2 linked regions of the Drosophila melanogaster genome follow. The protein of the gene in region 1 interacts with the protein of each later gene in a pairwise test. Each region holds a gene or a part of one and is shown in the gene's direction. Other genes may lie near its edges.

Region 1 (3,413 bases):
ACTCACAGCAGGATGGCATCTCGCTCGGTCCCACGCGGCGTATGCGTAACACTTCAGTTGCAATTCGGCGCTTTGAGTGAGTTTCTCCTGCCAGTGAGTGAGACTCTCGAGTGGGCGATCTCTGTGGGTCACGGCACGGCTCCAGTTGCACTCCTATATGATTTTAAGTTTTAATTAGCTTTTTGTTGCTGCTGTAATTTCGACAGCAAACAAAAGTTGCTGCTGCATCAAATTTTTAATTAATTACACGTAAGAATGCTGAAAAATTGATGGCTACAAGGAGGTTTCTTTCGTTTCGGACAAACAATTAGCATTTTACTGTCCCAAATATGATGCGAAAGTATGAGGGTAAATGAATGAAAAGTTTGTAGAAGTTTTGTAAGGGATAGCTTTCAATTTTTCCATCGGAAAGTGGGGACGGGAGTTAGGCTCGGCATAGACAAACTTTTTAATATGAAAATTGCTCGTTTGGGGTTTGGAAAATTAAGTCCTTAAATTGGGGACTGGGGAAGCGTACCCTTTCTAGAATGTTAACTTTCAAGGAGGCATTTTTAATGTCGAGAGATAGAATTTCAAAGTCGTAATATAACCATAATTTCCTTCTTATAAATAAAACTTACAGACACACATTTTTTTTAAGAATATAAGGCGTGTTCACTATGCATTATATGTAATATTATTTTGGGTCATTGTAAAATATATTATTATTTGATAATAGTTTTAAGCTTAATTTATTTGCACAAGATCTCAATTACAATCTTTTTATGAAACCCTTTTAAATAGTACACAAATTACCAAGCCGAATTTATGAGCAAGTCACTCGGCTCAAACAACTGAGGCTACTTTAATATAGGGTGTCCCGAAATCCGTGCACATCCAGGCTTGAGCATGCGTAGTCGGCATCCGGCCGGAGCAACTCACTCAACTACTGGAGGTCAGCGGGAATGCAACACCTACGAGGCTCAAACCTACCTGAGCTACCTGGAGTAGTGCGGCAAAGAAGAGAGAGTCAGAAACCACCCCGGCAGAGAGAGTGAGAGAGAGAGAGAGTGAGTGAGCGGGCGGCGGAAGGCAAACGTCAGCTGCATGGGAACCCAAAGGCGGGACAATTCCAATTGTGACATTTTGCATTGTTGGCCAGTGTAATGACACACACCTACACGAACACGAATGAGTTGGGTACGGGAAAGGCCTTAAATATTTATGAATGGCATGTTGTATACTTTTCGGGCACATATGCAAGAGCTACAAAGTGTATTGAGAACAATTCCTTGCAATTGCCCACGACTTGCGTTTTTCACATTTTTAAAAGCTTATTTACTATGCGAGATGTGTAAACCCACCGTATCTAACATCACTAAATTACTAAGTTGTAAGCCTACTTTCATAGCCAAGAAGAATAAATTAATCTATAAGTACATTGAACTTTCCATTATGCAGTTCTCAAGTATCACTTTCCAAACCGACAGATTCGCATTGTGGAATAGTTTCAGCGTCGATGCATGACCACCAAGGCCAAAATTCTGTAGCCAAAAGTCCCTCAAACTGAACTCTCGGCCAACGACCAAGCTGATCGCAGTGGAAAATCCGAAAACCAATACGATTCCAATTATCAGAATCGGAGTTATTACGGTTGACCTCATCCGAAGGGCGTGAATGAGCATTGACCACGGTCCAGGTCGGCAATGAACCTCAAAGAAGTGGAAAGCACCACTGGCATCGCACATGACTAGGCGGACCATCAACCAATTTTAAGGTTAATGACTGTGTTTACGCAGAATAAATGTGAACCCCTGGCAAAAAAAGCGGCTGACTGACTAATTTAAATTGATAGCAAAACGGCAATCACAAATCAGACGAGATGTGGGATGAGTAATCGCGGCGATAGGCAAAAAAGAGCCAAATAGTTTTGTTTTGTTTTGTTCTCTTGTTGTTAACTTGCACTAAATACATACGTTTGCAGAGCGTTTATATTGGGATTTAAAAATATTGCGTATACGCCGGCTGGGTTACGCACGAACGAGCAAACCGAGCAGCCGCTGATGGGCGCCCGATTAAGCTCCATTAAAAAAGCGTTTTATGCTTTAAAATTGCAAACATTCGGCGGCAAACTCTATAAAATCAGTTAATGCCGGGGTTTTTGCATTCAGTCAACGTTCGAGGATTACACACGATAAACATGGCCAGAAAAATCATGTCAGTGAAACAGTCGAGCCGCTCTCCATGTTGTTGGTTCGGTTTGCTCCTGGTCGCCATTTTCCTGCAGCCATCCGCGAGCCAATACTACGGTTATCCCTATTACGGCGGCGCTAATGCGGGAGCGGGATCGGGATACGGGAACATATACGGCAGCGGCATGTACGGATACCCCTACAGCTACGGCGGATATCCGTACTACTCGTATCCCGGCTACAACCCGTACTCGATGTACGGTGGATACGGGCAGTACGGATACCCCTATGGAGGATATCCCTACGGCGGCAATGGCATGAGTGAGTTTCCCGACTGATAGCACCTCGGTGCCTAGCACACAAGTAATCTACAAGTGTTTTGGACCTGTTTCTTCCTCTAGACGTGGCCTACGCCAGCAGCAGTGGAGGATTCGCAACAGCCAGTGCGGGTGGAAGCGGATACTACGGCTAGGAAGCGCGAAACCTGATATAGTTTAGTGATAGGTATACGGTTAAGTCATCCTACCCCATAAGTGTGTTAGTGCTAATAAATATGATATTTATGTTCTATAAGTCAAGACTTATTCTTATGACGTGTCCAAAACTAGTGTACCTGGTAAAAAATTGTACACCTAACTAGTGCCTTCATGTATACCACCATAATTTTATTAGCTCCCGGAACTGATGTGATAATTTGTATGTCTTTTAGCACATTTGACCCTATGTATGTTCCGCCAAGTTTATGCTGCCATGACTCTTTGTGGGATCATTAGATCCTTTTCTCAGCTTTTAGCTTTGAGTCAATAACTACGTACGCATATCTGGTCGTTTTAATAGTTATAAAAAAGCCTTGAGGCTGTGATCCCATATATAACCATATACCGAAAAATATTTTTTGCTTCGTGATAACAAATCGACAAAGTTTGATCCATGTGCATTCTTGGCGCCTTATCGATAGCTATGGACAGTGTTGTAAGGTGCACGATAGTAAGGGGGGCAAAATTGTATCGGTCTGCCGATAGTTCCCGGCCGTTAGCCAAGTCCAAATTCGACCGACCGACCAATAGTCTCGCAAAACACAAAACAAAGGCACACCACACTTCGTGCTCTCGCCGAATTCCGCCGCCGTCGCCTGAAACTCACACAAAGTAAGCCCGAAATCAGTGGAAAAGCGCCGAATAGTCGAATTGCAGGTTCAAATGGGATGGACGGCGACTTAAAAGGCGGAGGCCAATAGGCGGC
Region 2 (3,934 bases), on another chromosome or scaffold:
CTCCGCAAATAGCCGCAATCTCATTTGACTGTGGCATATTTGGGTATTGAATAATAAATCCGCAAATATATTCAATCGTATTTGCTTTCAGCACTCGGTGGTTACTCCTAACATTATTTTGTTTAATGTACAGTTATAGTATATATCGTTGCATAAGGTTCTCAACATTTTAATGTATTATTATTTAAGATCTCTTATAATGCCCACTTTTGCTTGTCTTTTGTTGGCCAACGACCTTGCCGCCAGCCCAGCGAAGAACAAACACTCCCCTCAAAGGAAAACCTCTTGAGTGGCATCACAAAACACTGAATCCACAAGTGGCCACCGCCAGCAGAAGTCTCTGGGCCACCGGAGACATTGCAAATCCGCTTTAAGCGTCTTTATTTAAATGACTTCGTTTCTTTTTTTCCTTTGTCGATTCTCCCACAGGAATACTCCAACAACGCACAACCTCACCCGAAAAAAATCCGGCTACAACAACTACCTGACTTCATCAACTGGCAATTTGCAATAGACTCATTGGCATTTAGCAGACCACAGACACAAAAACCCAACCCATTCGCCCAACGAAACCATTTTTCCGCAGAATTTCCCCCAAAGAAAGCTAAACGAGTCGCTTATAAGAAATTACTCAGGTAAGTTAAAATGCAAAAGTGGGAAAGTGGTGTTTATATAGAAAAGATTTTGAAAAACGCATGAAGAACCTAAAGAACATTATATTTCTAAAATATTGTAACAGTTTCCTAAATTGTGAATGAAAGAGGGATGCATTCAATTTTTTAAGATGCAGAAGTTCCAACTCGCATATCAAGATATTGATTTTAATTTTATAAACAAAATATGTACATATTCCAGAGCTTAAAAAATCTTGCAATTTAAGCTCAAATTACAAAGAATTGTTTTTAAATGGTACTTTTGTAAAGTTTTCAATTGAAGCCTACTATTGGCACGTTTCGATCTTTTTTGCTTCAATAGATTTGTGCTAATTAGCTTAAAAGGGGCCTCATTTACACGCCCCAGCTATATATTTATGTATCTCGCTACCGTTTTCCAATTAAAATTGCAATTTATAGCTAGTTGGTGGAAAAAAAAAGTATAATCAGCTGCACCTTCGGGCGTCGGTGCAAATTTGTACAGCAATTAAATGTTGGATAAAAAGCCGACTTGAAGGGCTGCCAATTCCTGGTTGATTATACGGGAAAACCAGTTTATGGCCTTCCATAAACCGAGGTCTCTTCCATCTGCCTCAATGTCAAGCTCAAATCCACTGACTAAGCGCAGGCATGAGCTACGTTTTAATTAATACACAACTGAAAAATGGGCACAATTTAAATAAAGTTGCGTGCCGATGCTCAGAAGAGGCAGCAAGCCACTACATTTTAAACCAACGTCGCCATTTGAAAAATCTTGGGCAATTAGCACAAGCTGCAGCAGCAACAACAATTAAACAAAAAAGCAACGACAAACAGTAATCAAAATAAATATCTGAGGGAACATAAATAAAGAATTAAACAATCGCATTCGTCACATCGCATCGCACATGCAGCTCAATTTAATTCAATGCAGGAATTCTATGTTATATTCTCTATTCTAAAGATAATATATATGGAACTTCACACAAATTTCAAAAAAATTGTATTTCTAAAACTTGAATTATTGAAAATTTGAATGGTATACTGGTACTTCAGCTTTTGAAAGAGTATTAAAACTTTGAATTAAAAAAATTGCAATAAATTCTCCTGGTTTACATGCATTATTCTGGTATGGAATAAAAACATACACGCGATATGTACTCAAGAATTGTTTTAGCAATTGAATCAAGTTCGATTTGAATCAAATCGAAATGAAAAAGTTCAACTTTCAGGCTCTGAAAGTCAAACTTGAAAATCCAATGAATTAGCATAATTTGAAATCTAAAAAAAAAAAAACAGTATCTTTTGTTTGAATCGAATTTTCCCACGCCCATAAACCAAAATCGCATGCCAATTGTTAATTAATAATTATTAAAATGTATTTTACACACTTTTCATTGTGCATTCATTTGAAATGCAAAGACCCATGCATTTACTACGCTTCCAGCACTTTTTGTATAGAAAAAAAAACTAAGCGAATCTTTTTCGCTTGCTCAAAATTAATTCGTTTAATAAACCGCCGGCGGCACGCTAAAGTTTTTAGTTTGAGTTCAGAGCGCCGACTTGTCGGTAGAATTGGAATCCGCGGAATGAACGATCCACCCCGAAAAAGATTCCAAAGTGAACCAATTGTGAAAAAGAAAGTGCAATCCAGACAAACATCAGCACTTCCCAAATGCAAAACACACAGCCTTAACTTGTGATTTTGATTTTGATCAACAGAGTCATCGGCTAATTGGGATTTCAGTGCGCATTTCTGGCGGCTTTCAGTGATTAGCCAAAAGCCATATAAATATCGGTCGTTAAAGCAGATTCAGGTTCATTAGTGCACGTGATATTCTAGGGGCGAGAGTTCAGTTTGTGGAGCATTAATCTCCAGATCTATTAAATCAGGAAAAGCTGCCAGGTAAATGATTGAACTTCATATCTAACATCATATAATTTCTTCTAAAGAATGCACATTAAATTGAAAGTGCATTTTGGCAAAGGGATGAGAAAGAATAGAATACTATATATCCTAGAAAACAGAGCCGATATTTGTTTATTTATATGAATACAACTTATCCCTTGTTATAAAAAGTTATCCCATTTGTTAGCCATTAAAAAATCTTCCCATAAACAACAGTAGCGCAATTAAAACAGAGATTAATGGACAAATATACGGGCTAATTAAAACGATGCCAGATTTCCCTTGTACAATACTATAACTAACGCAACAGCTTTGTATTTAGGCAGCCAATTCTAGTTGATTTAATCAATTGAAATGACAAAATTTGCTGCCGTTTGTTTGTCACGCCCCCAAACGTGTTGCAGTTGTATGAACTTTCAGCAGCTTCCTCGTCTATTTGTCAGATAATTTTCATTTGTCATTCAATGTCAACACTTTATCAATACGAAGACGTCATAAACAATCAATTGTACGACGGGACAGGCATCAATTGTAAACTTGATCAATTGCAAAGTAAATTGAGAAGGCATTATGCAAAGACTATTGGCGGAAGACTTGATTCATCTACGCCTTCAATTACGAGACCTTTTCTTTTTTTTGCTAAAAGCAGTGGGTTAATTCAATTTTACAACCGAAAACTTAAAGAACTCTGCCTCTCTTTTTCGACTCCCTTTTGTGAGACTTTGCGAGCGAATTATGCTGGCAAATTGAATTTGCGCCTGGCGATAGGCAACAGAAAATGTCAAAATTACAAATGTTGCGCATACGCCCCGTGTGTTTGCTGGTAGTGCTCCGGGGTGGCAGGCAATTAAATAAATATTTAAATTGCGTATGATTCAATTAGAGTCGTGTTGCCGTGTGAAAGATACGCTTCTTAATTGCCAGCCCCAAGACTTGTAATTTACTTTTAATTAGCGAAAATCATTGGGGCATAAAGCGAGCGTGCGACTTTTGGATTTGATTTGGAAGGGGAATGGGCATGGAAATGCGATTGGGAATGGGAATTGGTATGGGAAAGCTGCTTACTCTTGATTTGATTACATTTTAAAAAGACAATCGGCTTACTGCCTTGCCATTCGTAGCAACCAGCGGCTAGCGACGCAATGCAATCATCGACCGATGCGGGCAATGGTGGACCAAGAAAACACACGCAGAGCACAGCCCCCCAGAAGCAGTCGGAGATTAGCGAGACCACCTCCTTCACCGTAAACGCAAACACCACCACCAACAGCCAGCAGCAACAGATTCCCGGCGGACCCGCCAGCAATACGCCCAGCAAAAATCCCTTCAAGCAGCAGTTGGACAGCAATCAACAGAATGGCAATATGGAGCCGGATTGCGGCATCATGGGCGT

The links.
Region 2: the proteins of CG14563 (region 1) and Vmat interact in a two-hybrid assay, tested with the Drosophila melanogaster proteins (one large-scale study listed by BioGRID).

The regions. Positions count from the first base shown.
Region 1 is NT_037436.4:21,841,137-21,844,549, reverse strand, and holds CG14563 (uncharacterized protein), read left to right. Parts: upstream 1-2,163; 5' UTR 2,164-2,194; coding exon 2,195-2,492; intron 2,493-2,572; coding exon 2,573-2,643; 3' UTR 2,644-2,742; downstream 2,743-3,413.
Region 2 is NT_033778.4:13,528,115-13,532,048, reverse strand, and holds the start of Vmat (vesicular monoamine transporter), read left to right. Parts: upstream 1-2,173; 5' UTR 2,174-2,538; intron 2,539-3,662; 5' UTR 3,663-3,683; coding exon 3,684-3,934.